Linked DNA regions of Notamacropus eugenii. The protein of the gene in region 3 interacts with the protein of the main gene of each other region in a pairwise test. Links are inferred from orthologs where the notes say so. Each region holds a gene or a part of one and is shown on either strand. Other genes may lie near its edges.

What was found.
Region 1: the proteins of RUNDC3A (region 3) and RAP2B interact in binary tests that used the Homo sapiens proteins (3 or more experiments, as listed by UniProt). The two-hybrid records come from large-scale screens. The link is inferred for Notamacropus eugenii from reciprocal best matches to the Homo sapiens genes RUNDC3A and RAP2B.
Region 2: the proteins of RUNDC3A (region 3) and CCNL2 interact in binary tests that used the Homo sapiens proteins (3 or more experiments, as listed by UniProt). The two-hybrid records come from large-scale screens. The link is inferred for Notamacropus eugenii from reciprocal best matches to the Homo sapiens genes RUNDC3A and CCNL2.
Region 4: the proteins of RUNDC3A (region 3) and RAP2A interact in binary tests that used the Homo sapiens proteins (3 or more experiments, as listed by UniProt). The link is inferred for Notamacropus eugenii from reciprocal best matches to the Homo sapiens genes RUNDC3A and RAP2A.

The regions. Positions count from the first base shown.
Region 1 is NC_092877.1:375,391,062-375,398,379, reverse strand, and holds RAP2B (ras-related protein Rap-2b), read left to right. Parts: upstream 1-4,298; 5' UTR 4,299-4,999; coding exon 5,000-5,551; 3' UTR 5,552-7,056; downstream 7,057-7,318. UniProt on the Homo sapiens protein: Small GTP-binding protein which cycles between a GDP-bound inactive and a GTP-bound active form. Involved in EGFR and CHRM3 signaling pathways through stimulation of PLCE1.
Region 2 is NC_092876.1:34,943,165-34,950,644, forward strand, and holds the start of CCNL2 (cyclin-L2), read right to left. Parts: upstream 3,008-7,480; 5' UTR 2,993-3,007; coding exon 2,648-2,992; intron 936-2,647; coding exon 861-935; intron 622-860; exon of another isoform or gene 544-621; coding exon 434-543; intron 1-433. UniProt on the Homo sapiens protein: Involved in pre-mRNA splicing. May induce cell death, possibly by acting on the transcription and RNA processing of apoptosis-related factors.
Region 3 is NC_092873.1:349,696,355-349,703,774, forward strand, and holds the start of RUNDC3A (RUN domain-containing protein 3A), read right to left. Parts: upstream 3,011-7,420; 5' UTR 2,928-3,010; coding exon 2,821-2,927; intron 1-2,820. UniProt on the Homo sapiens protein: May act as an effector of RAP2A in neuronal cells.
Region 4 is NC_092877.1:229,395,493-229,402,326, forward strand, and holds the start of RAP2A (ras-related protein Rap-2a), read right to left. Parts: upstream 3,008-6,834; 5' UTR 2,888-3,007; coding exon 2,574-2,887; intron 1-2,573. UniProt on the Homo sapiens protein: Small GTP-binding protein which cycles between a GDP-bound inactive and a GTP-bound active form. In its active form interacts with and regulates several effectors including MAP4K4, MINK1 and TNIK.

The DNA.
Region 1 (7,318 bases), on a different chromosome or scaffold from region 3:
TAGTTTTGCCAGGTGCTGTAAACTTCCCCTTCCCCAACAATATGACACATCTTATAGTTTAGAGAAAGGAACCCCAAAATATGGTTCTCCACCTTCAAAATCTGTGAAGTGGTGGTTTCTGAAGCTTTATTTTTATTTTCTTACATCCTTGAAGTTTGGCTAAGCACCTTTTTGAATACAGCTATAGCTGATCATAGAGGCAGCATGGTGAAGGAGATATGAGTTTGAATCCTGCCTCAGATACTTATTAGGTAATGGTAGACAAATGAAATAATCACTTGGTACCTCAATACCCCCTCCCATTAAATGGAGGTGTGAGCATCTTTCTTACAGGGTTATTGTGAGAATCATATGTGAAAGCACTAGACAAGCCCTAAAGTGTTACGTGGTTATCAGCTATTATGAATTTATGAAAGAATCTATACCAATCATTTTTACCAACTGGAACACCTTGAACCTAAATGCTGGGTCCTAACCCTGGGTGCTCCCAAGAACTTGAGTAGGATGTAGATTTCCTGGAGGATTATATCAGGTAGGCAATCAATCCCAACTTAGTAAGAACCAGGAACAGTGCTCACTGCTGGACTGTCTCCAGAGGAGTCTGCTGGGAGAGAAAGTGAACTGGATTTGGAAACAACTTTGCTTTTTGCCAGTGGTAATACCTGGACATGGCACTGCTTGCCCTGACACATGTCTTTTTTCCTCATTTGTAATATGGGGGGGGAGGGGTGTACATAAGAGGATCTCTAAAGTTTATTTTGTTTTGAGTTTTAAGCCTATGATCCTAAGAGCTCCTTCTTTATCTGACTGGGGTTGTTGTCTGCCTGGTACCTCTTGGCACCTCTTGGTACCTCCCTGCTCCCTCATAGTATAAGCCCATAGGCTACTTCCAAGTCACGCTGCTTCATGGGATGCAAGGGACAGGGACAGTCCTAAGACGGTGCCTACTAGGTGGCATTAGAGAGCTCTTTATGAAAATTCTTCGAGATTTAAAAAGGACATAATTGTAAAATAACAAAGTCATAAAATACACATATGTATATTTAGATATATCATACACATATGCAAAAAGTATGCAATGTGGGAAAGCTTCCTGTTTTTTTTCTTCAATATTTCCTGGCTATAGAGGAAGGATTAATACCTGTTACCTCAGTTATAGCCAGAGAAGCCTTTAACTCTAGAGTCAAATGACCTTGGACTTCAACCACGGTTCATTAACTGTGTGACCTCGGGTAAGTCATTTATCTCCTTGTACCTCATTTCCTCATCTCTAAAATGAAGCTTTTGGACTAGATGAACTCCAAGGCCTTTTCCAGCTCTAAATTCAGCATCCGGTGACCTGTTTCAAAGAATATGACAAGTCAGCGTCTGGTTTAACCAAATGCAAAGCAGGGCCTTCCACAGGGTGTGGTGGGGGCCACACCCTCCTCACCTTTAGGCGAGTCCCGGAGAAGGCTGCAGCCTGCAGCCGTCCCAGACTCGGAGCTATCTGAATAGTTTCCTCCAAGAATTTCAGTTGCATTACAACAGCAACAAAGTTGCCTCTTGCTCTTGAAAAAGTTTGGGATTTGGGGCTTCGGCCGTCCTCGATCACTAGGCATCTTCCGTCTAATCCTGGGTGGAAGGGGGAAACACAATTCGGTCTGAGTCTCGTACTAAACCCAAAGCCTCCTGAAGGAGCGACCCCAGCGGACCCCTCTTTATGGGCCAGCCGAGCTCTTTCTCACGGCTCCCAAGCACCCCTGACCCATCCACTCCTCCCTCGCCCACCTCCTCGTCTGATCCTAAAATCTGAAGACAGGTCTTGACATCTCTCCTCCTCGAGAAATAAGGGAGGGTCGGGACAAGCCGAGGCAGCTCCCCGTTACCTCCCAAAGAGCATGAGGGAGCCAACAATCCCACCCCTAACCAGAGAGACTTGGAGGCAGGTCTGGGCACTTCTCCCTCTCCTCCCTAGGACTGGCTTCTTGGCCGAGCCTTTCCCTACTCCCCGCCCCCCTTTCCTTCGGGGGCAGGACTAGGTGTGGTGTTAGCTTCTCCCTTCCCAGGCCAGAGCGAGGATTCTCCGCTGGCACCCTCCCCCGAGCCCGCTGCAGCCGGGAGAAGGGATTGGCAAGCTGTGCCCACCCTAGCTCAGCCTAAAGAGATACGGACCCTGGGGTCTCTAGGCTCAGCACCTCTAGGTCTACTGCAGCCTGTTCGACTTTGTTCTCCCCAAACAGCTGCTTTGGGGGGGGTGGGCAGGGAGAAGCAGGGGGAGGGGAAGGGAAGGGACGGGAGACACCGCTGAGAAACAGCTGGGCCTCCGCCTCTTCACTTAGTCTCTATTGATAACCAATCACAAATGGGGGATACTTTTCAGCCAATGAGGCCCTGGAGCCTGACACAACCTCGGCGACAGCCAATGCCAGGCTACCTGGGGGCTGCGGGGAGAGGAGGATTGCACCCGTCGACCAATGGGCCCCGAGTTTGGGAGAGGAGGTAATTTGAGAGCCAGGGTGGGTGTGTCCAGTGAAACCTTCCTACTTCTAACTCCCGCCCCCCCACCAGCTGCCGCTCGTACTGAGCATGCTCAACTCTCTCCTATCTCCTGCCCGCCTCATAGAACAGTTCTGACGGGCTTAGCCAGATTGGCCGGGTTTTCCACACAGCCTAGAAAAGTCTGGAGGGAGGGACCCAGGATCCTGCAGGATCCTCGCACCCCAAGTTCTGCAGTTGGTCCCGGCTGGAAAGAGAAGGTCGGGGGCCCCGTGGGCGACCTCCAAGGACCAAGGAACCAGCATCAACCGCAGAGATCCCGCCTTGGCTGGCTGCGGTCCGGGTCCCTGGCTCGAACGCCTCCCCCTCCCCCCCCGCCAACCCCAGTGGTCCGGCAAGGGTCAGTGGCGTGGGCCGGCAGAGGTTGACGGGTTTGGGACCCAGAAGTAGATGTACTCTCTGTATGCGGCCAGACCACATCATGCTACTCTCCGCACGTCTCCCCATTTCCATCACTAAGCATTCTGCCTCCCCATTGCAAAATCAGAACACTCGGGGTTCCAAGCTACCTGGAACCTTAGGGTTGCAAGCACAGTTTGTTTAGCTTCCTTAGGGGAATGGGGGGTGGCGGTGAAGGAGGAGCAGAGCACTCTGGGGCTCGAAGTCTGGGGAGCACCTCCTGCGATCCAACAAACTGGCACCACTAAACTGGCAAAGAGCCTCTATCCCCGGTCGGGAATGATAAGTAAAGATAACGGCCCTACCTAAACTCTCAAGGATTTCTGGCCCAACCTCACTGTACAGTGGAAGATACAGAGGTCAAGAGAGGCAAACTGACTTGAGAGCTGTAGTAAGCATCTAAGAGAGAATTAAACACCGGTCCTCCATTCTTCGTCCTTGTGCCACGCAGTCCAGGTTCCTACCCCATTTTAGGGAGATGGAAGCCGAAGTACAGAAAGAAGAAAGAACTTAGGGTAGCAACTGGCCAAGCCGGGGTCAGAGCCCATGTCCTCCAAATTCCAGTTCAGCCTTCTTTCCAATGCTGAGCGCTTGGCCAGTTTTTAAGCTCTCCAAACTAGCCACGATTAAGGGTTAGTATAGCAATCAACAAAGATTTTTTAAACGACTCCTATGTGCCAGTTGGGGGCTGCAAGGTCAGAAAAATAAAACAAGTAACCGCTCTCAGGGAGCTAATATCCTAGGGAGAAGACAAGGTGTACTTTCAAAAAAGTCGCTACAGAAGAACACAGGTGATATTTGAGAAGGGAACACTGGTAGAAGCTGGGGCATCAAGATACATACAATATATGTGGAGTGCCCCCGCGTCAACACTCTGCTTGGGGAGCACAAAGCCAGAGAATGGCACCCGCGCCTCTGCCTGCTCCCAAAGGGGATCTCCTGGATTCAGCAACGAATGGTTTTCCCCGGAAGGCATCCCAGAATACACAAATGGGGAGGAGGGCACCCAGGAGCCCCGTTTCCCCCCAATAAAACCGCCTTCCAGTGCGTCCCCCCGTCACTTGTCAGTCATCCCTCCATCTGCCTGCCCGGTGTTGTGGGTATCTGGATGCAGGACCCCCTTCATGCCCTCTTGCTAGGAGGGCATACAAATAATAGATCTTATCCTGGAATTGTTTTTCCCAAGGCTGGTGCGCTCATCTCTGGCACCCAGTCCACCTCAACTCCAGCTCAGGGGACCCAGTCCCAACACGAGCCCACAGCTTTCTTGGCTCCGCCCCTGCCCCGGCCCTCTAGGAAAACCCGGAAAAGCGGAATCCTCCCCCCGGCAGCCTCGCCACGACTCAGCGCCCCCTCACTGGGCATGCTCACTAAGGCAGGGCAGGTTTGGGGCTGTAAGTAGGAAGCTGGAGCACTCCCAGGGCTGCTGGGGAGGGAGGTACGGACCGTGGGGCTGTTGGAGGAAGGAGGCAGGCACCACGGGGACTCATGCACCACGCGCTCGGGGCTGGGGCGCAATTAGCAGCCGCCTCCGCAGCCTGCACCCGTCCTTGCCTCTGCTGCCACCGCCGCCAGTGCCAGAGCCTCTGCCACCCCTCCTCCCAACGCTGCTGCCGCGGGTGAGGAGCAGCCCCAGCTACCGCCGCCGCCGCCACAACCGCAGCAGTAGCAGCAGCAGCCCCAGCCCCGGCCCCGGCCGTAGTCCGTGCCCGGCCGATCGCCCGCTCCTTCGCCAGCCCGGGCATTGTCCCTGCGCCTGCCGCCGCCGCCGGCCGCTTGCTACCAGTGCCCCAGCCGCCGCCGCCTGAATGCAGGGCACGGAGCCCGAGTGAAGCCTCGCCGGGGTGGGCGACCACCCCCCACCCGCAGCTCTTTGCTTTCTCTCTCCCTATTCTCTCCTCCCCCGCTGGGTACTAGGAGAGAGCACCCGGCAGGAGCCGAGCTAAGCTTTGCGCAGGTCCCACTCCTTCCCCCTCTGCCCCCACGCCCCCCGGGGGGCCCAGGCCGGAGGGAGGCCGAGAGCGGGAGAGACTCTCGGGGAGGGGGGGGGGGGTAAGAAGCCATGCGAGAGTACAAAGTAGTGGTGCTGGGCTCGGGCGGAGTGGGCAAGTCGGCCCTCACCGTGCAGTTCGTGACGGGCTCCTTCATCGAGAAGTACGACCCCACCATCGAGGACTTCTACCGCAAGGAGATCGAAGTGGACTCGTCGCCGTCGGTGCTGGAGATCCTGGACACGGCGGGCACGGAGCAGTTCGCGTCCATGCGGGATCTGTATATCAAAAACGGCCAGGGCTTTATCCTCGTCTACAGCCTGGTCAACCAGCAGAGTTTCCAGGATATCAAGCCTATGCGCGACCAGATCATCCGCGTCAAGAGGTACGAACGGGTGCCCATGATCCTGGTGGGCAACAAGGTGGACCTGGAGGGCGAGCGCGAGGTCTCGTTTGGGGAGGGCAAGGCCCTGGCCGAGGAATGGAGCTGCCCCTTCCTCGAGACGTCGGCCAAAAATAAAGCCTCGGTGGACGAGTTGTTCGCGGAGATTGTCCGCCAGATGAACTATGCGGCTCAGCCCAACGGGGACGACCAGTGCTGCTCCTCCTGCGTGATTCTCTGAAAACAAGGGGTGGGTGGGGGAGCTTCTTCCTTCGGGCTTGTGCTTTGGTTTGAATTTTTATTGGTTTCTTTTTTTTTTTTTTAAAGAAAAAAGCGAAAGCAAAATACAATACTTCTTTCTCAATGTGATTTTTTTAATTATTATTTTAAGATTGGAAACAACTTTGCAGCGTACAAGGTGTGTTCCAGGTGGGGGCTCATGGCTATTTCAACTGCAGCTGACGAGCCCCAGTGCTCAGTGTCATGGGGGTGGGGGGAGTTGTCTTGTATTTAACATCTGAACCTGGGTGGAAATGTGGCGCTTTCAAAGCATGTACATTCCTCTCGTGGATTTCTTTGATAGTTGCCTGTTTTCCCACTTAAAGCAGCCGTTAGAGAGCTGTATTGGCAACTTGACACCAGGCAAAAAAAAAAAAAGTTTTAATCTGGAGGGAAGGGATGGGAGCTGGAGGAGGATGGGAGAGAAAAAGGCTTGTCAACAACCACTTTCCAAATGGAAGATTTAAGTACCTAGACCGGGGAAGGAAGTGCAGGAAAAGCCTGTGAAGAAATGAAAGGAGAGGAAGAAACCCCGTTTCCAGGCATGTGTGTATGTGTGTGTGCTGGAAGTGAGGGTTAACTGCCTTCCCTGGCAGCCTGGAAGTGCAACCCTGGGACTGATTACAATTCTGAGGATTTCTATGCAAAGTTGGATTATTGTTACAGTGTATCCAATCTGAAATATTGCACAACTGAACTTGGACTGTTTACACTGGTGCCAATGCAGTGTGGAGTGCCAGAAAGTGTCTGCTGATATTTGTGGAAAAAAAAAAAATCTATTTTGTTTACCTACTGTATCAAATGGGAGTCTGGGGGAGAGCGGGAGTGTTTTTTTTTTTTTTATCAGCTGTGAAAAATTACAAATCTGCACATTTTTTTGGTGGGGTGCTTTGTTAATTTTGTTTTGTTTGGGTTTAGGGTTTCCTTTTGGTTGGCAATAACTGATTTTGATGACCAGATCTTTAAAGTACAGTACAAAGACTTCCTCAAATGTGATTCAGGGGCAACAGCGACCCTGTGTCTAGAGTGCCTTCAAAACTCAGCTGTTCCAGCCGTGCCAACCTGTGAAAGTTCCACAAAATCCCATTATCTGCTATGACTCCCCAAAGTACTTAACAGTTTCCTCTCAGTAATCATACCCAACAAGCCGAGACAAAATGGCCTGTTGTTCATGGAATTTCTTTTGATTTCTTTTGGAGCCTTTTACATGTAATTTCCATGTTTTGCAAGTACTCCTGGCTTCACGTAATTTAAATTTTCAGGTATTTAGTGCCCTTTTCCTTCCCTCCCTGGTTTTTTTTTTTTTACCTGTCTTAGGATATTCCTCCAGCCAAGAGCAAAGTTTTAATGTTGTGATGTACCAAGCAGATTCTAACTAATTGTAATTTTAATTCCAGACATGCGTTTAATGGTTGTCTCTTCATCTAAAGACTTTTAATACAAATACCATTTTTAAAAAAATGCAAACCCCAGAGGCCTGTTTGTGTTTTTGTTTGGTCTGGTTTCATCCATTGTATGAAGTCATACACTGTCAAGCCTGATATGGAAAGAGTCATGACTTAAGTCATAACTGAATCTGAAAGTGTTTTTATCCGGGTCTGAATGGATAGATGCAAGTACTTTGGTGGAGAAGTGGGTGGGGTTCATAGGATCATAAATTGGTTGGAATGTTGCCTTCAATTCTTAAGACTGGGAGCAAAACCAGGATGAGAAAGTTCTGAGTTGTGGG
Region 2 (7,480 bases), on a different chromosome or scaffold from region 3:
ATAATCTAAATCAATAAATGAAATTATTACATTCTGAAAAGGGCTTTCATCCACCTAGAGATTACAAAGTACTTAGCTAAGAACATTAGGCTACTTTTCAACTAGTCAAAAGGTAGAGTTCACTGAAAGCCAAAGGAGATGATAAAGGAAAAGAAAATCAACAGATATAGATTAGTTGAAACAATAACAACCCAGACTCATTAATTGTTGCTCAGCAGAGTCAAAGTATCTTATCTGGGTTCAAATCCCCACACTATCACATATGACCAGTGTGACCTTGTGCAAACCCCTTAATCTCTGGGGGGCCTACATTTCTGCATGAGTAAAAAATAAACAGATTGGGACAGAAGTACCCAGATGACAACTCAAAGTCCCTTATGATCCTAATAAAACTAGGATTCTTTTGTATACTCAAAAAAATACCAATACTTACTTTTTCTCCCTCAAATGCCGAAGTCGATGAAACACATTAATTACGTCCCTTATCCGTCTTGGAGCTTCTTCTATTTTGGAGGCCAGATGAACACAGGCCATTGACACATGCTGAAATATAAGTATTGCAACATACTGATGTTTTGCTCAAATCTGGAACTGTGATCGCCTCCATCAGCTTAAGGAGGGCTAGTAAGAGAAAATGGCAGGTAAATACAAGTAACAGAACAACCTGTAAGATAAGCAGCGCTTTACAACCTACATGGCTTATCAAACATAATGAAGCAAAAATACTTAATCTACTGAGGATACCTTGTTTTCGTAATTAGGAGAAAGAGTAAATATGTTGTTAATTAAGCTTTACATATTAAAATCTTAGGCATTTAGCTTGAAACGGAAATGAAGAAAAGGGAAAAAGTTCTACTTACTTCCATGGAATGCTTCACAAAGGATTTGGTATAAAAGAACCGCTGAAATAACACCTGCCCTGTAGCCATGGCCACCTAGAAAGTGAAAAGAATTCAGTATTATGTTTTTAAAAGTACTGTTCAGGATGTGCCAGAATCATCTCAATTTGAGAGAAAAAAAAGATATTGGGTCTCACTGTATTCAAGATGTTAGAAAACAAAACAAAGCTTTTCCAGCCCATGGTTAATGATCCACCCATACTTCCCCACATCAGAAAACAACAGTTGCCTTAAAACCAAGAAAAAGAGTCCACCTCAAAACATGTAAACAAAGAAACAATCCTCCACTCCACCATGGATGTCCTTCTTAAGCATTAAATAAGACTTGGCTGGAGATGCCTCAGGTGCTTTCCCACACACTAAATCATATTTTCAAGGGCCAAAGGGTAAGAGGTCCTGCCAACTAAATCCAGCAACACAGGAGCTGGGGTGAGGAAAGGAGATCAACACGTTGGGAGGGGGGAGGTGGCAAAGGAGGAAGACACTTGAGCAACCCTTCTGTCCCCTTGCACAATACAGGGGAAAACCCATTATTATTCAAGAGTAGGGACTGTTTTTAGTTTTGCTTTCCTATCTCAGGCAGGGCAGGCCAGGAAGTCATCTACACAGGCAACACCCCTCTTTCTCCTGGTTAAAGAGCCCTCCCTCTACCAATACTTCCCAGAATCTCAACCTAACCACAATAAGATGGTTTGTTTGTTGTGATTGCTTCCAAAATGAAAGATTTTTCTCCAGGTGTTAAAAGATAAATTCAGCCAGTAGAATACAAAACTCTTTAGTCTACCTCCAGGGCCTCCCCTAAGAAGCTATCACATTTGTATCGCATTTATTAAAAAGCAGTCTCTCTCCTAAGAAGTAACTACAACCTGCCCACTTGGCCCCCCCTTCACCCAGTTCCCCCCATTAGCTGTCTTTTTTATTTGGAGTGGGCTTGAAGGGAGCCCTCCTGAAAAAATCCTCCCTCCTTTTTCAACTCTTTTTCTTAGAGTCTGGGGTCAAGTTTCTCAGTGCCGTCATTAAGGGGTCCCCTCTATTGTGGGGGGAAGGGAGCTGTTTCTGGTGTTCTAGGTTCAGAATTCTAGAGCCTTCAGGTCATCGAGAGAGAACAAGCTCTGAAATGTTACATGATAACAGAATCACAGGAACATGAATTTCTGAGCTGGAAGGGACCTCTTACGACGATATGGAAACCGAGTTGTTATTTTTACACAAGGGGAAACTGAGGCAGAGAATTTTTTTTTTTTTCTTTTTCTTTTTTGAAGATGATACAGGTTCATATTAGGAAGCCTCCAGAGGCCGAACCATTCGTTTTACACAGTAGAAAACTGAGTTTCCCAAAGAGTTAGGCCACTCAAGTCCACAATCTGGGGCCAAATATACATTTCACAAATGGGAAACTGAGGTTCGGGTCCGCTGTACGCCCTCTCCCCGGCGTAAAGAAGCCACCGCCCCATTTGGGCTTTCCCGAAGAACCCCCCCCCCCAGCCCCCCCACGGCGCTCGGGGGAGGAGCGGCCTCCCTCGGCCCCCACGCCCGGCTTTGTCCCAGGCGGCTCCGGGAACAAAGGACCAGGCCGGGCCGCCTCCCTCCCCTCCCCCACGCCCCTCCCCCCCGGGCCGTGCTCGCGCCTGCGCACTAGCGGCCGGGCGCGGCGGCCGTTACCTCAGGCTCCCGGCCTTCCCCCCTTCCCCTCCGGCTCCCTCGGCCTCCCCTCCCCCCAGCCCCGGCCGGCCGGGCCCCGTACGGACCTGCGGCAGGCGCAGCAAGATGCCGGCCGCCTGGATGAGCTCGCAGCCCACGACGCGCAGGCCGGTCTCGGTGTCGGGGTCCAGGCCGCTCGACATGGACGGCGTGAACCGCAGCTTGTCGTCGGGCAGCAGGCAGTTCTCCAGCGTGATGAGCACACCCGAGTACAGCCGGTCCCCGATCAGCACGCCCGGCCCCGAGCCGCCCGAGCCCGCCGCCGCCGCTCCGCCGGCCCCGCCGCCCGAACCCGAGCCCGAGCCGGCCGCCGACGCAGCCCCGCCGGCCCCCGAGCCTGCCGCGGCCGCCGCCACAGCCGGGGCTCCCGCAGCTGCCGCCGCCGCCGCCATCTTGAATCTTCTTCGAGCTTCTGGCCCCCGCCCGGCGGCGCCTCCCTGCGCCCGCCCGCCTCCGAGGACTCCATTGGCCGCCGCTGCTCGGCCCCCGCCGCCGCTGCGAGCCGCGATTGGCTGCGGCGCGCGTCACTCGGGCCTCTCTCTGTGACTCACGGGCTGAGAATTCGGCGCGGGGGGAAGGGGGTACGCTACCCAGCGCGCATTGCGGCGCCTCCGCCTACCGCTCTCCCTCCTCCCTCTCCCGTCTCCCAGAATGCCCCACGACGGCAGCTTGTCTGTCACGGTCCGGGCGCTCCATCCTCGTGGCGCACCGAGCTGGGGAACGCTTGGAGCCGAGGCCTTTGTCGGGGTGAGATCGGAGACGTGCCCGGTCACCCTGCCTGGAGGGCCGGATGTCCAAGTGCTGCCCCGAAGCCAGCCTCGGCCCCCAGGGCTGGTCACACCCTCCCAGCCTCTGTGCCCTCTTCCGCACATTGGGCATAAAAATAGCACGTGCCTCAGCGGTGCTAGGAAAGTCGGCAGCCTTGCCCTCTCCCCAGCACTGTGCCAGGGCTGGTGGCACAAAGAATGGCCGTGCCCCCACCCCTCAGGGAGTTCAGACTAATAAAAGCAGCCACGTACAGGCAGAACCTCCCCCCAAGGACCCGGGAGGGAGGCGCCACCAGGATCCCCGTGACAGCTGAGTATACCCAGGTAGAAGGCAGGTGAAAGTCGCTCAGGCTCACATAGCTGGTAGGTGATGAGGCAAAATTCGAACTCAGATCTCCCTGACTCCAGGTCCAAGGCTTCCCCTACAAGAAAGCGCCTGACTCAGCAGATGCAGCCTGTCGGGCACTGAGGGCAGCGCCCCACAGCGAAGGGCCGGTTAGATCGGGAGTTCTCAACTCTACTAAGGTCCGTTTGGGTAACTATTTCAATATAATTGGCTTCCTTTGTAACCTATGTGTTTTATTTTATACGTATTTAAAAACACGATGCTGCGAAGCAGGGATCCGCAGACATCACCAGACCACCAAAAGGGTCCAGGACGAACTAAAGTTAAGCCGGTGCTACATACACAGCCTTGGACCTCTTCTAACTCGTCCCTTTCAGTCACCCAGGCTCAAAAATGCCTGGATTCTTCCTGAGCTCTGTCCCCTCATCCCAGCCCCACAGTTGGCCAGTCTCCCGTGGATCCCACTCTGGACATTGTCCCCTCCCCTCTCCCGTCTGTCCTCCCCACAGCTGCCTTAAAGCCCAGGTCTGACCCTGTCAATCCTCTGTGCCTGAAATTCCAGTGAGATGATAGATGTAAATAGGAGCTCTTGGTATCTACAGTGAAAAGTCCTGGAAGGGGTAGCTCCATGCACTGCCCAACGTTAAGTGGAATTGCCAAAGATGGGAAAACTCATTGCTACAGGGGAGGTGAGTAAGTGGGCTGCAGGGCTGCGTGAGGTGCTCCCTCCGCTGTGGAAACATTAGGAAATTAACAAGTCCCTAGTTGTTTATATCCTTCCTCTCATTGTTACAACTAGAAATTACAAGGATATAGACAAAATTAATCAACACTGCACTTTAAAAAATATTGTAATGCCTTTTACTTTTGTGTCACAATCCTATCGAAAGGACCTCATCTCCTCCAAATTGCACAATCCTTCGTAGGGAAGGGGATATGCATTTAGTTATCTAGAGCTGTGTTAAGTGTTTTACAAATGTTATCTCATTCGATCTTCACAATAACCCTATAAGATAGGTGATGTTTATTATCCCCATTTTATAAATGAGGAAACTGAAGTTATGTGATTTGCTCAGTCACACAGCTAGTAAGTATCGGAGGCTGGTTATGAAAACATTGAAGCAAAAATAACTGTTCTCTTGGTTCTGTTTATGAGATCCATAGAGGCTTTGGGGGAAGCATCCAGTCAGAGAAAGGCCAAAGGATCAGAGGGTCATTTCTGATGGTGGAGCAAGCTTCCAGGATGAATATACATTAACTTAAAGACGCACCTTTACTGTTTTACATGACTACATATGTATAACTTATACCAAGATGCTTGCCTTGTCAATGAGGGGGTGGGGAGGGAGGAAGGGAGAGAATTTGGAACTCAAACTTTTAAAAATGAATGTTAAAAATTTTTTACATGTAACCAGAAAATTTTTAATTTTTTTAAAAAAGCATGTTTACATACACCTTTACATTTGAGCCTCACAACTACTGTGTGTGTGTGTGTGTGTAGGAGAAGGGGGGGGGGGTTGGCAGTATTATTTTATAGATGGGGAAACTGAGACTTATCAAGGATAAAGAAAGTCCAGTACATCCTAGAGACAAGTCTGGAAAGAGTGTGTGGACCAGAGAAATCTTAATATTTCTCAAGAAACAGAAAAGGTTTGGAATCTGCATCCATACCTGTAAGAAATAAGAAATGGCTAGAATCTGGACAGATATGAGACTTAAATAGGAGATCATGGGCAGACAGAGCTAGAAGGGTCACACATGCCTTCCTACAGTTCCATCAAGGTCAGCAAAGCTTCAGTCACTGATGACGGAGGTCAATGGTACCAATTGATCATTTAGAGTGAACACTCGCATTGTTTTGTTTTCCCTTGACAAAGGGCAAACCACCAGTATGAGATTGCAGAGACGCAGACAGAAACTTCTAGGTTGCTTTCATTGTCTTTGTGAGTTGTCCTTTTTTTGGGGGAGGGAAGTTTTGGGGAGGGAGCTCTAACAGTGAATTTATTCTAAATGAATTTATTCTAAATGAAATTTATCAATTAGAAACCTAAGTGCCTAGCACACAGTAAGCACCATCTTAACTTTTGTTTGTCCTGGACCCTTTTGGTGGTCTGATGTTTGCAGATCCCTTCTTCTCAGAATCGTGCTTTTAAATAAAAATAAAATAAAACATGGAAGTTACAAAGGAATAATAAATGCTCGTTGTCTGGACTGCACGCAGTAAACACTCAATACTTGCTGAATCGAATACATGAAGTTTTCAAATACAGGAGCTTTCATAGGACCCTAGACTGACCTCCACAGTTGGATCTTGGAGGCCGTCTAAGGTTTAAACCCCTCATTTTACATATGAGGAAACCAAGGCTTAGATAGAGGAAGTGATTTGCCTAAGGTAAGCTACCTATTTGGAAAATTATTATGAACTATATTTTTAGCAACAGAAAACCCAATGTCCATTATAAGGATGGTGAGGTGACTGAGATGCTTTCTGTCTCCTCCAAGCCTCACAATATCCCTGACATGGCTAACAAGTGATAATTCATCATCTTCCTCAGTTTACAGATAAGGAAACTGAAACCCAGAGGTTGTGACTTTTCCCTGATCATAGAGTAAGGGTCAGGATTCGAACCCAGAGTTCTGCTGAGTCCAGAGATCTCTTGGAGTCCATTCCACTTGAGAGGAAATGATTCTAGAGAATACAATAATACATCTGTAAACTCCAACTTATTTAGAATTTAAGGGAAAAAAATAGTCTATCAAATACTGCAGTGACTCAAAAAGGGAAATACTCTGACGACGGAGTTCTGTGCTATTTCTTGTGTGCATACAGTGAATGTCATAGAGTAAGCACCAAATATATGTGAATTGAATAATTGCATTCCTGAATTTATTTCAGCTCTTTTTCATTTTTCATTTTTATAATACTGTCATAGGCAGGTGCCCTTACAGGTGCTTGCAATTTGGATTCCTCTAAGATGGGCCTTGGGAGACAACTTCATGATTTGTGCTTTTTAAGCACCCCCAGAATGTACTGCCAGTAACAGGCCAGATCTTCAGGAGGTGCCCCAGCCAACCCGGTTTTAATCCTCTTGAAACTAGCCAGGCTGATGTGGTGTGTCAGCTAAGAGACACATACATGAAAGCCCAACCCTCAGCCTGTGGGACCTTTCAGGTTAGGGAGGATCAGAAAGAGTGAGGGTTCCAACCGACATATGCTCAAGAACCCAAGACCACAAAGATGCATGAAGTCTGCCAGACTATAGCATGTTGTTCTAGGACAAATAGCACAGAAAACACCCCCTCAAAAAACAACAGATTGTGTAAGGTGCACTCCTAACCCCAGAGTTCCCTTTATTTTGGGCTCAGACCTCTCCCAACAGCCCAGATCAAGTTCTCCTCAAAACCCAAGCTTATGTGTGTTCTTCTATTTGACCCTGATACATCCCAATCAATGTGCTGAGGTCCCTTTCCAACTGACTGTCTGTGGACAAGCTCCTTGGTGACGTTCTGAGGGCATCAGTGTGGAGAAATGGCACTGAATTTGCAATCAGAGGACTAGGGATTCAAATTCTGGCTATTCACCCAATATACGATATTGGGCAAATCACTTCTGTCTGTGGGCCTTGGTTTCCCCATTTGTAAAATGAGTGGATTGATCAAAATGACCCCGGAGCTCAAATTCCAACTTGTAGGGAGGTGTCTCCTGCTCCGCCCCCAGGACCTTCCTTTCCATTACTTCCATCTGTCTCTCTCTTTTCGGTGCCTGG
Region 3 (7,420 bases):
GAAGTAAAACTTACAAGCCTTGGCAACTGATTGGATATAGTGGGTGGGGGCCGTGATGAAAAGGCAAGAATAAAGGATAACTCAAAAATGGGTAAGTGGAAAGAGTGGTGATGCCCTCAGCAGAAACTGGGAAGTTTGAAGGAGGATGGGTTTGGGGAGGGGGGAATAGAAATTGAGCTGTTTTCTATATGTTGAGTTTGAGACACCTATGAGACAATCAGCTGAAGAAGTCCAGGTAGCAATAAGGAACTGGTGTTCAAGAGGGAGATTAGCTCTGGATACCTAGATTTCTGAGTCATCTGTAGAAATGGTAATTGAACCCATGGGAGCCAATGAAATCACTGAGAGGTTTTACTGAGAGAAGAGAACTCAAATATAGCCTTGGGGGATGCCCACATTTAGTGGGAGCTATAGAATGATCCAGCAAAGAAAAAAAATAGTCAGACAAGTAGGAGGAGAACCAAGAGAGAAGAGCATCATGGAAGCCCAGGGAGAGGAGAGTAGTCAAGAGAAGGGGGTGGTGGACAGTGTCAAAGACTCCAGAGAGGCCAAGTATGGGATTTAGTAGTTGAGATTATAGGATCATAGATGTAGAACCAAAAGGGAGCTTAGTGGTCACCTAATGTGAGCTCTCCCCCCACCTTGATTTTACAGAGACCCAGAGAGGTTAAGTAACCTGTCCAAGGTCTCACAGGAGTGTTAGATCAAGGACAACCTTTGGGAGAGTGGTGGGAGCAGAAGACAGACTGGAAGGAAGCAAGGAAGAGGTGAGGACATAAAAGCTTGAATGCAGACAAGCCTTTCTAGGAGTTTGGCTTTGAAATGAAAAGACAGTCATTTGGAGGGATGCAAAAGAGGAGATGTGGATATGTCTGCAGGTGGCAAAGAGGCAGCTAGTGGATAGAGAAATGGAAGATGAGAGAGAGGGGATGATTGAGATCGTAAGTTTTTTCTGGAAGATAACGGAATCCAAAACAGGTTTTGGTCTTAGCAAGGAGAACGTCTACCTCTTCATTAGAGACTAGAGCTAAGTAAGAGAGAATGGGGGATCATGAAGACAGATTTTGAGATGTAGAGAAGGGGAAAAGATGAAGCTAAAAGTGGATAGTCACATGACAGGTAAGAGGAAAGGGAATGAGAAGGGAACCTAGGAGGTGGATGAGAAGACCATGGGGTATAGGGACAAGCACATTTAGAGAGGCAGAAAGTATTTGGACTGGGGGGACAGGGGCCTGTACTTTGGGGCTCATGAGTGAATTTGCATAAATGTCAAGGCCCCAGGACAATGTCAACAGAGACTGAAGCCCAGTTAGCTGGTCACCATAGATTCCAATTCTAACCAAGGCCTGTATTTAGAAAGATGTCAATAGTGTGTGTGGCAGGGGATAGCCTTGACTCCTGGACATGGCAGTAGATTTGCCTTAGGGGAGCCACATCTCTCCTCAGATATGCTTTCTTCTCCAGAATGGTATCTTGAGGCTTCTTGCAGGCATAAGTGTGATGGGAAAACAGATAAGAAGAGATCTAAGGAGGGAAACTGGGGTAGGATGTGAGGATGGAGAAGGTGGCTCACTTCTAAGCCTTTTCTGTTTCCCAAAGTGTGAAATTGGTGCTGGTGGCAGGGTTTATTTTGGGCATGGAGTCAGAAGTATTTGAGTCACCAAAATGCTAGGCCTGTGCAGGGGGCATTCCCTGGACACTAGGGCAAGAAGGGAAGCTCTGAGAGGAGGTAACATCCCTTCAGACCAGTAGCAGCACTTCCCCTATGACTCTTAGGTCTCTAGGTCTCCTCCAATTTAATCAGCCTCATTCCCCTCTCCATTCTCTCTCCCCCTCACCCACCTCCCACCTCCACACTTAGGCCTCCGACATTCAAAACCACAGTATCTTGGGAAGAAATACTTTTTTCAAAATTACCAACATGTTCTTTCCTCCTCCTAGCATGAAATGGATTGAGAGAGACCCTCATGATCTGAGAATGGGCATACTCTAACCTTCCTTCCACCCTAGGCTTGGGTCTCACAGGCAGACAGTTCTTACTGGTGCCCTTTGACATCCTTCAGGACTTGAAAAGATTTAGGTGCCCAGTTTCCCCTATCATTCAAAGCAATCAGCCCAGACTGTAGAATATGTGAACAAGGATGATGGGGCACTGTTCATATCCTGGGATGTTAGTGAGGAGAGTTTGCAAGTCCATGCTCCCACCACAGATGAGTCTGCTTGAGATGTCTAGGCCAGCAAGGAAAAGTGTCTCCCTCTTTCTCTGTTCTTGAAGTGAAAGGAAGTCATGTAGGAGGGGAAGGATTGTGCTGAGGGTGTGATAGGCACCATCCATCAGGCTGACACTCTTAGTATGTAACTGTTCCTTATACCCACCCTCCCCAGGGTGCCAACTCTTCCCATCCCTCCCCCTCCAGTTCTCTCCAGCTATAATGGCACTTTCTTGTCTTTACAGGAAGCTTTAACGCCAAATGAGGAATCTCCCTTTGTCCCCAAGCTGGGCACCGACCCTGGAAAACATCTAAAAGGGTGAGGGACAGGCCTCTTCCATTTCCTTCCTCACTTTGGCTGACCAGTAAGCAAGCTTGGTATTTACTTCAAGTATTTTGCTTTCGGTCGAATGCTTTATGTCCACAACTGCCCCGATCCTAGGAGCCCAGCCTGTACTCAGAATAAATCCCAGAATAGAACAGCCTTGCTCTCCCCCACCCCCCACCGCCAGTTCTCTCCACCCCAGCTCTTTCCATTTATCTTGTCCCTGCATGGTCTAATTTTCTCCCCTTAGGCCCTAGCAACCACCCTCCCCTCGCCTTTCCTCACCTGCAAACGGTGATCAGATTCCTCCGCTCCACGGCCACGTTTCGAGAAGACGCTTTCTTAGAGGACAGTCCCAGAGCCATGGTGGACTGCACGCAGCTGGATTCCATCCAGTTGTGTGTTGCCTCCGCTGTCCCCCGCCTCCCTGCTTCCCAGGCCCTCCGCCCCTACCTTTACCCCGTTCCCTGGCAGCCCTACCGGCTCAGGGCTGGGCTCTCAGCCGGCCCCAATCCCCCTTCCCCTCCCTAGCCATCCCCCTGATTCCACACTGAGAGCCCCCGGCACCCCACCCCCTCTCTCCCCAAGTGACTGAAGCTCCGCAGCAAAACAAGGTCCGGGGAGGGAGCTCTCCGTGGTGCTGAGCCTGCCTGCGCCCTGTTCTCCCCCTCCCCACCCCCAACCCTCCCGGTCCCCGCTCCACCTCTTTCCTCCCTCGATGACGTAAGGGCCCCCAGGACCCGCCCTCCGACAGGCTAGGGTCCAATCCGAGGAGGGGTGCAGGGTTTGGGTGTTAGGGAAGAAGGGAGGCCCAGGGCCGAGCATGGAGAGGGCCCTTGAAAAGACTGGAAAGCTACGTAGCCAATTCACCCGGCCCGGGAAAGGGGGAGTGGGGGGGGGGGGGGGCGAAGAGGGGGATGGGGAGAGGGCAGAAGAGGGGAGGAGCCTAATGGCCACAACCCACATCCTAACCCGGGGACGATCTGTGATCTCCAGTCTCTGAGTTGGTATCTCTAGCTCCTCTAATCTCTACCACCTGACCTTGAGCATCTCTCGGCCTCTGAACCTTGACCAGGAGACCTGATACCCTTTCGTATATTACATCTTTCTATCTGATCTCTCCCTACCTGTCTGTCCCAAGGAAACGCAGAAGCCGGATCTGTTTGTTGGTCTCTGGATGAAGGATAGCACTAGATCCAAGTCCCTGCAGTTTGCAGGAGGAAGCCAGAGAAACACGGGGGTGGGGGAGGTCATGGTCATTCTTGAGCTAGTTACGTGTTGGGATATCTGCAGAGGGTGCCAGCCTAGATACCAGCTTCTCTGACTCCCCCACCCACCCACACCCCCAGCATCCCCAATGGAAGGCAGGGCCAACTGTCCAGATGGGGACTGGCATTAACCCTTCCACTGCCAGAGTGTGCCTCCCCGTGCCATCTGCCAGCTCTGAGTAAGGCCATAAACTGGGCACAGAGCCACTTGGGCCCTTCCTGTCACATGGGCCCCAGCCAGCTGATCATAGTCTCCCTCACCCAGGGATGTGAGGAAATTAAAGCACAAACCTGACTTCCTCCCCAACTCTCCGCCTCCCCACACTCCTTCCATGACACCACAACCTTCTCTCTAAACAGCTTTCACATTACCCTTGTTCCCATCTACCCACCACCTTCCTGCCTTCTCGCTCACCCAGAAACTTCATTCTCTTCCCCCATTTTTTCCCCTAGCTCACTGATTGCCTGGTACTTCTGTCCTCCAAGAAACTTTGATTGAGGGAGAAGAGAAGTGTCTCTCTGTTCCACCTCAATGTTCTACTCCAATTTGTGCACTGCCCCCAACCCTGCTCCTTTTTATGATTCTATGATTATGGCCAGAAAGAATTTTTGTTCTTAGATTTTGTTCTTTACTGACTCCAGGTTTCAAACCCAAGATCCTGCCTGGCCTCCCAATCTCCTTACCTTTCTTAACTCCTAACTCACCCTAGGAAGTACTTCTGCTTTTAGACTTACAGCTGGGGTCTGTCATCATATTCTTCAAGAGCAAATATACTCATCTCCCATTCTAGTTCTAATAGTACCTGACGTATATGACCTAATTCTCTCTTGCTGCAAAGTAAGTCTGTTTCCTCTTTCTTTATCCCCTTTGGCAATAGTGGATACCAGAAAGAATGAATATTCCTTCAGTCTGCTTTCCCACTTTTCTACACATCCAAAATCTTAGAATCCCAAGTTGGGAAAGTTGTGAGAGAGAAAAGCAAGAGCAGAGTAGGTTGAACTCAGATCAATCCACTGATAAGGTAGATTCAGAATTGAAATAAAACAAGGCATTTGTAGTTGAACAATTAACAAAAGGACATTCACTTTGGTCAAAGTAGAAGGCTATGTGACAAGGATAGGTACTGAGGCCACCTCAGGTTATTCAGCTGAGAGAAATTCCCTTGCTTAAGTTGCCCTTTATGATCCACCAGCCAGGCATCCAAGAGGATTCTGGGAGCTACCTCTGCCTATTTTGTACCATGTCCTGGCTCCCTCAGGCCATGGTATCAACAGTCTGGGTTGAACCAATCACAAATCTCAAGGATGATCTCAATATATTTTAAGGGAAAAAATGGGTTCATCTATTGCTTGATAGTAGAGTCCTTAGGGTCTTCTTGTGGAACTTCTACCAATTGAATGACTTTAGGACTATTATTGGTCAACCCAAATGCCTGATATTCAAAAGTATAAAATATAGTCAGGAAAGGAAAAAGAGAAAAAGAAAAACTAAGACATATATATGGCAAAACCCAAAACAAAGAGACCAAAGTTTCAGAAAGGGTCAAATCTTAAGTCTAAATATTTAGGTCCATAAGGTAGGTGATGCCAAATTTCTGCAGTTCACAGTGGGTCTCAACGTAAAAAAAGTGACCATTACTAGAAACAGCACCAGGGACATTAAGGCTACAGCATAGATGATGACACTTCCTGCCTGGTCACTATGAAGGAGCAGAGAGAATTGCCCCAGACTGCCACCTGCTTAGTTTCACTGGCTCACCAGCCAGGGCCTTCCCCTTCCAGGAAACCCCATGGAATCAAGGAGGGGGGAAGTAAAGGGAGGGAGAGCGCACATCTCTTTGTTCAACGAGAGGCTTCTGAGAGAATGCCCTCCCTTCATCTGTGGGGACTGGTTAGATGTTTCCATCACTCCTTGTTGCCACAAAGCAAACATCTTCCCAACAATGCCACCTTTTGGTCCTCCCTGGGGAGGAATTGTTCAATGATCCCTGCTTGTTGTATTGGAAGTCTTGTGGAGAGGCCCATCAATTGTACATTATACGAATCAATGGATTACAATGGGCCTGCTTTTTGTCACTGCACAAGCTGGTGTTCCCTCTTCTGCCCCTGGTCTGCCACTGGAAGCTATTTCCTCAACTGTCTCCTGCCATTGAGGTCCATATCCCTACTCACTGTCTCCCTACCTCCAACCCCCATCTCCCCTGCTATTACCACTAAGGCCTGCATCCCTGCCTCTGTCAAGGTCAATTGTTACCCTATGTGTCAGGATAGAACAACTGCCATTGTTAGAGTGTTTCTGAAGACCTGAGCACCATGTGTGGTCACTATTGGAACCTGATTCTGTCCTCTTATACAGATGGTTGCAGCAGTGTGGCTGCCCCCTTGTGCTTTGCAGGAGTGTTGTGGGCACTGCTTAGACTCTGCTCTCCAAAAGGACCTACATGTCCAAAAATATTTCTAGTAGCTCTTTTTGTGGGGGCAAAGATTTGGAAATTGAGGCAATGCTCGTCAATGGGGGAATGGCCGAAAATGCTGTGGTATATAATTGTGATGGCATACTATTGTTTTATAAGAAATGATGAGCAGGATGGTTTCAGAAAAATCTGGGAAGATTTATATGAACTGATCCAGAGTGAAGTGAGCAGAAGAAGGAGAAAGCTATACACAGTAACAGCAATATTGTACAATGATCAACCATGAATAATTTAGCTTTTCTCAGCAATATAATGATCCATTATATTGGCAACACAGGCAATTCCAAAGAACTCATAATGAAAAATCCTATCCATCTCCAGAGAAAGAACTGATGGAATGTGAATACAGACCACAGCATACTATCTTTCTTTCCCTTTTTCTTTCTTTCTTTTTTTTTTTTTGGTTCAAGTTTTCTTCCATAAAATGACTAATATAGAAATATGTTTTACTTATTTGCACATATATAACTTATATCAGATTGCTTATTGTCTCAGGGAGGGGAGAAGAAAGAGGGACAGAATTTGGAACTCAAAATTTAAAAAAAATGTTTAAAATTGCTTTTACATGTAATTGAAGAAAAAATAAAAATTAATTTTTAAAAAAGACTGCTGTCCTGTGCTTGGCAGAAGTACTATGGGTGCAGCTAAGACTCTGCCCTCTTGTGCTGGGTCCAAGTGGGCCAGGGTGTCATTGCATTTAGCTGTTCCACCTGTGTGTATGAAGTCAGGACCTACCACAATGGATGGATCTGGCAACTCCAAAAGATTTTGGACAATCATGTCAGGGCTCAGGATTCCCTTCTTGTCAAGGATCATCCTCTCCAATGCAAGAAATTCCTCTTTTGGCTAGTCAGTAACCACTGAGGGGTCCAAGATTTGCTGATGACTTGAACTCACAAGGCTGCCACAAAGTCTAGAGATGACCAGCTCAGGGGTGCCCACTTATCCTCAGGATATAAAAACAACAAAAACAACCAAAAACCCCACCCAACAATGACAAAACCTGAGGCTGGAGAATGTGCCTGGGATCTGAGCTTGGAGTGGGAGAGAGAGAAAGAGAGAGACAGAGACAGAGACAGAGAGATAGAGACAGAGAGACAGAGACACAGAGAGAGATTGAAATTAAGAGTTATAGTTCAGTTT
Region 4 (6,834 bases), on a different chromosome or scaffold from region 3:
AATGAAAACTTACTAACATTACAACTTAAAAATAGAAGTAAATAAGCTGTGAGTGAAGGTCTAAGGGCTTTTTTTGATTAAGTTGAAGGCCTAATGTGTTGACTTTGTGACATCTAGGCCTGCTGATCAGAGGCCTTTTTTCGCTCAAAGACCTTTAATGGCTTCTGTTACCTAAACAGTAAAGTGAAACTCCTTGGTTCTTCTTCCATGGTCTATTATCATTCTACCTTCCCAGATTCATTTTATACAACTTACTCTTCTTCATATATTTTGTTTCTGCCAACTTTGAATTTCCTGTTCTCCACTCAAATATACCCGTTTTTGCACTTTCCCACTTCCATGACTTTGCTCAGTTTTTCCCAAGGCTAGAATTTCCTTCCCCTACAGCCTTGGCCTACCTTACTGAATTCTTACAGGCCATTTCCCCCTTAAATCCCGTCCTGATTCTACCCCTTAATAAAGACCTTACCCAGGCTCTGCTTTCACAAGCCAATGTGTGTACCCCTCTTGCATTATTATTTATTACTTTTCATGAGTTATTTGTGTATATGTCATTTCCCCTCTGCAAGGTCTACAAGGTAAATTATCTGTGGTCAGGTTCAACCAATGCTCCTGTATACTAGGCAGTTAGCTACTAGATTGGGGGATAATAAGAAAAGTTCATTGAATGAATGACTTGGGAATATCAAGTCACTACATAAATACAGGCAATTTCATCAGAAAACCTTGTTCTCGAAACTAGTTTAAGCCATTGTCCTGTGTTTTAACAATGTGAATCCTTACAGATTATACAAACTAACACTAAAGTATACCACAGAAATTAATGATATAGCCTCCACAAGAAGCGAAGTGATCATCTGAAAGATAAAGAATAAGGAAGAGGAAGAAAGGGGGAAAAAACAATCAGAATCAAATCTTGCAGTTATGAATGAAACTGAAAAGACAATTTGGTTTTTAGTTTGTTATTCTTTAAGAAATTTAAAAATTTTAATCCAGCCACTGAGTATACTAAGTATGTTCCTGAAAAAAAAAACTACTTTTACTTTAGTACTCTCACAAATTGCATTAAAGATAATCTCATTTTCATTTGACATCTCTGAGCACTCACTGAATAGAGGACACTTGGCTTTGGCCCATTCAAAGTAGTTACAGAACTCAACAGAGGATAAAATAGACAGATTTATTACTTTCTTTAAAATAGATGGTGTCTCTGAGTATATCCATACGGGCTATAGGGGGCTGGGGGGATATTAGGTTGAACTAGTTGGCACGGTAAATAAAAAGGAAAATTAGTGACCAAGCTACCAAGTTATAACCAAGTTACAGATTGTACATCAACACATTTATCAGCAAATCTTAAGATTCAAGAATCTTAATGACTGATAAGAATCAGAAGAAATGAATTGACTGCAGATGCCAAAAATAAAGTGGCAGATATTGTAACGACACAAACTTTTGTTTAATGAGCAAGTTTGCCATTGAGATCATTAAGTATGTTAGAATATCTTACAGCAGAGGTTTTTCAAACTGCCTGAAATGGCCCACAATAAAGAAGAAATAAAAAGGAATTCAAATCAATTCACCAAGCATTTATTAAGCACCTACTATATGCTAGGCACCGAGAAGAGTATCGGGGATAAAAGTCAGCCAACTAGCCATTTATTAAGCACCTACTCTACAAAGATCAAAGCAAAATGAAAGGAGATAATCCCCATTTCAGGAAAACAAACTGGTACTGAAACTTCCCTTGCAAGTCTTAGAAAAATGAATTTGCTTTTTTGCTAAGGATTCGGGAAAGAAAAATCTTGTTTGTAAGTTTAATAGAAGCAGTCCCCTCCATCTCTTCGGGTTCTCTCACCTTTTTTACGTGCCCACACGCTAATTCAGGCTGTATACTGGTACACCCGCGGGGCCTGCACAAAGCCACCGTACCCTCACCCGGTCCAGAATTCGCTATTCATCCGGAACACTATAAAAGCGAAATGGCCAGAGGGAAAGCAGCTTCAAGGCTCTGCCCTTTCCCCTAACAAGCCTGCGGTATCCTGCCGTGAAACACGGCCAAAGGAGTTGCCTATTCTTTACCCAAATCCCGAGCCTGAAAACAAAAAACAAAACGCAACTCTTCTTCCCCCGCACCCTCCCCTCTTCCCTTCGGAAAGTCTTTCAACTTGGGTCTCCCTTTCGGACTCCGTGCCAGCTCCATCGCTCACAGGGCTGGCGACAATCGTAGTGGGCGAAACAAAGCGCCAGGCAAACTTGAAAGCCTCCCCCAGCCCACGACAAGCGGGCGCGCGCGCACCGCACGCAGACAGACACAGACACAGACAGACACACCGCACACAGACACGCACACAGACACACACACTCGGTTCTCGGCGAGCGCCCGCGGCCACCCCTCCCCGGGCTCCTCTCTCAGCGGGGGCCACCCCTCCCCGGGCTCCTCTCTCAGCGGGGGCCACCCCTCCCCGGGCTCCTCTCTCAGCGGGGGGCCGCCCCTCCCCTCCCCATTTCCGACCCGCACTCGGACCGCAGGACCCCCCTCCCCCTTCACCGCCCGGCTCCCCGCACCTTACCGCTTGACTCGGATGATCTGGTCCCGCATGGGCTTGATGTCCTGGAAGCTCTGCTGGTTGACCAGGCTGTAGACCAGGATGAAGCCCTGGCCGTTCTTGATGTACAGGTCCCGCATGGAGGCGAACTGCTCGGTGCCCGCCGTGTCCAGGATCTCCAGCACGGACGGGGACGAGTCCACCTCAATCTCCTTGCGGTAGAAGTCCTCGATGGTGGGGTCGTATTTCTCGATGAAGGTGCCGGTCACAAACTGCACGGTGAGGGCGGACTTGCCCACCCCGCCCGAGCCCAGCACCACCACTTTGTACTCGCGCATCGTCCCCCGCCGCCGCCGCCGCCTCGGCCGCCGACATAGACTTACGCCCGCCGAGCCGGGGCCCCCGAACGCTCCTCGGGCGGCTGCTGCTGCCGCCGCCGCTGCCGCCGCCCCCACCACCGCCTCGCGGCCGCGGCAGCCCCCTGGGCGGCGGCAGCGGCAGCAGCAGCGGCGCTAGCGGCGGCCCTGGGCATGGACCGCGCTCGGCGGACGGGCGGCCCCGCGGACGCCGCCGGGGGCGAAGCGAGGGGCGGAAGCAGGAGCCGTGTCCGGGCCGCAGGGCCGGTGCCGCCGCCGTCGCCGCTCCCCGCCCTCCTTCCTCTGCCGCTTCCTCCCCGGCGGCCCGGCGGCGGGCGGCGCGCGAGCTCCCGAGCTGCAGTGCTGCCGGGGGCGGGGCGGGGCGGGGCGGGGCGGGGCCGGCGCCCGGACGGGCGCTAGCTCCGCCCTCCTTCCTCCGTCACCTAGGCAACCCCGGGGCGCCCGCTCCGGGCAGCCTGTGGAGCGCCGGAGCTTCCGACCCGAGCACCAGCCAACCCTCCTCGGCCCCGCTCCGCAGTCCCGCACCCGCAACGTAAGCCGGGACCGGTGGAAACGTGTGGCGTCTGCTCGGCCAGGTTTTAGTGTTTGTCCTAGAAAACGAGCGGGATGGGGGGGAAGCGCCTCCCGGGCAGCGGGAACCCCACTTCCCTCCCCCTCGGGAGCTCTCCAGCCGTGTCTGTATGCTTGTTTTTAAACATGGGATACTGCGGCGGCGCGTGCCCATCACTCGCGTCCCACAGCTGGGGAAGAGGCGCCTCCGCCAGCTGCTGCAGAGGGGAAAGCCAAAGGTCACGCCCGCCCCCAGGCTTGGCCACTTTGCTCCCGCCACATCCCGTCCTCTTAATCGCCCGCGATGCTTATCAAGGGCTTCACCCCCTGTTTTTCCCCCGCCCCTAGGGTCGGGAGTCGCTAAAGCCCGGAGAATCGGATTATCCAGGTACTCCTAGCTAAACTGAGCATGCCTCTTAGCAACAGCCGGTTTGAACGGCATCTCGTCGAAACCTGAATCCGCACCAGCCAATCAGCGCAAGTCTCGGCGTCACGTGGTGCCGCTTGCTACCAACCGGAGGGCTGTCGAGTACCACGTGACGACACCATCTCCCGGAGACAGTCAACCCTTCAGCGCTAGAGGCTGACTGGAAGCTTGGGACTAGCCAGTCCTGGATGGAGCTGGGGTGTGACGGAGGTGTGTCCTCGACCAATCCGAGAAGAGCTTCCATCGGCAGCCCAGCAGTTGTGTTCCCCTGATGCTGTGGTCGGGCGTGGGCTTTGGGGCGGTGGTCAGGGAAGGAAAAGTCACTGTGACCTATTCTGGCAGAAGGAGCAAGATTCATGGAACTCTGCGAAAAAGCCTTCCCTGGATGGGACTGGGCGTAAACGATGTATTGTTAGCTGTTGAGGCCAGAGATCGCAGAAAGCGGTCCTTTCCCCAAGGTGAGAGCCCTGCTGGCGGGCAGGGAGTAGGAGAGAAAAGCCCGAGGCTTCCTCAGCGGGGCTCACCCTCCCTCCTTTGTGCTCCTGCAGTCCATTACGGAGGGCTCCCGTGTGACCGAACACATCGTGCAGTCTGAGAGCCGGGCAGCGCCCGAGTCAGGATTCACACCCAGTTCTTCTGATCCCCAAGTTCAGTCTCCTTTCACCAGGCTGTTTCAAGCATCCCTAGCTTGGTGCAGTTCTGGTATGCATTGATGAACACTTCTTGAATTTGTTTCGTGAACTACCGCTTACCATTTCTTGGGAAAACAAGTTACATAATTTTACTCCCCTATTAAATCTACCACTAAATTCTTCTATCGCCTCCTCCCCTTAGGAAGCTGACCTTGAAGGCTGGGTCAAAATCCTGTCCCACGGAAAGGCTTTGAGTACCGGCACAGTTATGTATTGCTTGTTTTTTGAGGTCCGTTATAAGAAGCACAGGGCGGGGAATCAGCATTAAGTTAGCTGTATTGTGAGGAATTTGTTGGCCACAGCAGTTCTGGAGCACCATTTAGTAAGACCTTTAGGTATCGCCTTGTCCTGTGCCTGGATCATAGCACATGCTTAATAAATGTTTGTGGACTGATTGATGGAGGAAGTAGCCATACCAACCAGGGAAATCACAGATTGCACTGTTACAAAGTAATCATTAAATGTTACTTTCTTTCTATTCTATTTCTGTATAGTCCCCCTCCTAGAGTCATCATGGTGATAAGAGGTTAGAGAAAATGGTGTGAAAAGACGTGTTTCCCTTTAAAAATAAAAGCCATTGCAAATCATTCCACAATCTGCTGCACATTTATAGAATTTAGATTTGGATGGAACCATAGAAAGGATCTAGTCTAACTCCCGCATTTTACAGATGTGACAATTTAGGGCAGAGGAGCCCAGTTAAATGCCCAAGGTCATAGGTAGTAAATTTCACAGCAAAGGTTCTAAGCCGTGCTATTTGATTCTGGAGGCAGATACAAAAGGTATCACTTCTCACAGAACGCCTAATGGGAACTCAAGCCATACCTGCAAAAGAATCCTTTCTTGGTAATTCTCAAAAGGCTTGAAGACTAAATCCTTTATTCAATAGATGAGGTCTGTAAGATCCACAAAGATCAGGAGATTTGCTGAAGGACGCAGCTAGTTTGAGGCAAAAATATCTTTGAAATACCAGAGAACTAGGGGGTATATGCTATAGGCTGCAACCATAACCACATAACCCACAAATTTATGACTTACTTTAAGAGAACTCTCACCCCAACTTAATATATACATATCCAAAAATGATTGGCAATTCTGGAAATTTAGACGCTCATTACTGAGCTACTTTGGGCAAGGGTGTTCTGATTGAAGGAACTATTAAATATAAATACCTAATTTTATGGAACTTTGTACCAGTATTGATTCATAATGTAAAGCTAATGTATTTATTTAGAAGCTCCTTAAGCTTTCTGTTTTCACTTAATTCAACTCTCTTTTCCCCAAGAACCTTCTTTTTGAAGGTTCTGACTTGCTGAAGATCAGTCACTCAATTTTTTAAAAAATTAAAAAAAGTGAATATAAGAGAAAGGCAAATCCTATATATAGCCTTCCACATTGCAATAGGTGAGGGTAAATGATGGGGCTGGTAGTTAGAGATCTACTTATATTGCAAATTTTAAAAGGAGTTTCTTTTTTTTTTTTTAATTTTTTTATGTTTAACAATCACTGCCATACAATTGTGATTTTATCCCCCCCACCTACCCCCCACTCCCTCCCCACGACTGCATACAATTCTGTATAGATTCTACATATACTTTCCTATTGAGTATATTTTCACTACAGTCATGCTATGTAGTCAGACTAAGATAAATGAAAGAAATCGTATAACAAATCAGAACATGATACACAAACACATACACATACACAAACATGATCTGTTACATTATGTGAATGACTTCCATATTTCTCTCTCTGAGTGTGGAAGGCATTTTGCCTTGAGAACCACCATTGGGATTTTTTTTTTTTTTGTAAGAAGTTCTTGTGTTATTACAAAAATCTAAGTCTACCAGAAAAAACTCTCACACACTGTGGTCGTTGCTGTGCATAAAGTTCTCCTGGTTCTGCTCCTTTCACTCAGCATCAGGTCATATAAGTCCTTCCAGGCCTCTCTGAAGTCTTCTTGTTCATCATTTCTTATGGCACAATAGTACTCCATTACATTCATATACCATAATTTATTCAGCCATTCCCCAATTGATGGACATCCCCTTGACTTCCAGTTTTTGGCAACTACATAGAGTGCTGCTATAAATATTTTTGTACATGTGGGACCCTTTCCCATTTTTATGATCTCTTGGGGATATAGTCCTAGTAGCGATATTGCTGGGTCAAAGGGTATGCACATTTTTGTAGCCCTTTGGGCATAGTTCCAAATTGCTCTCCAGAATGGTTGGATGCGC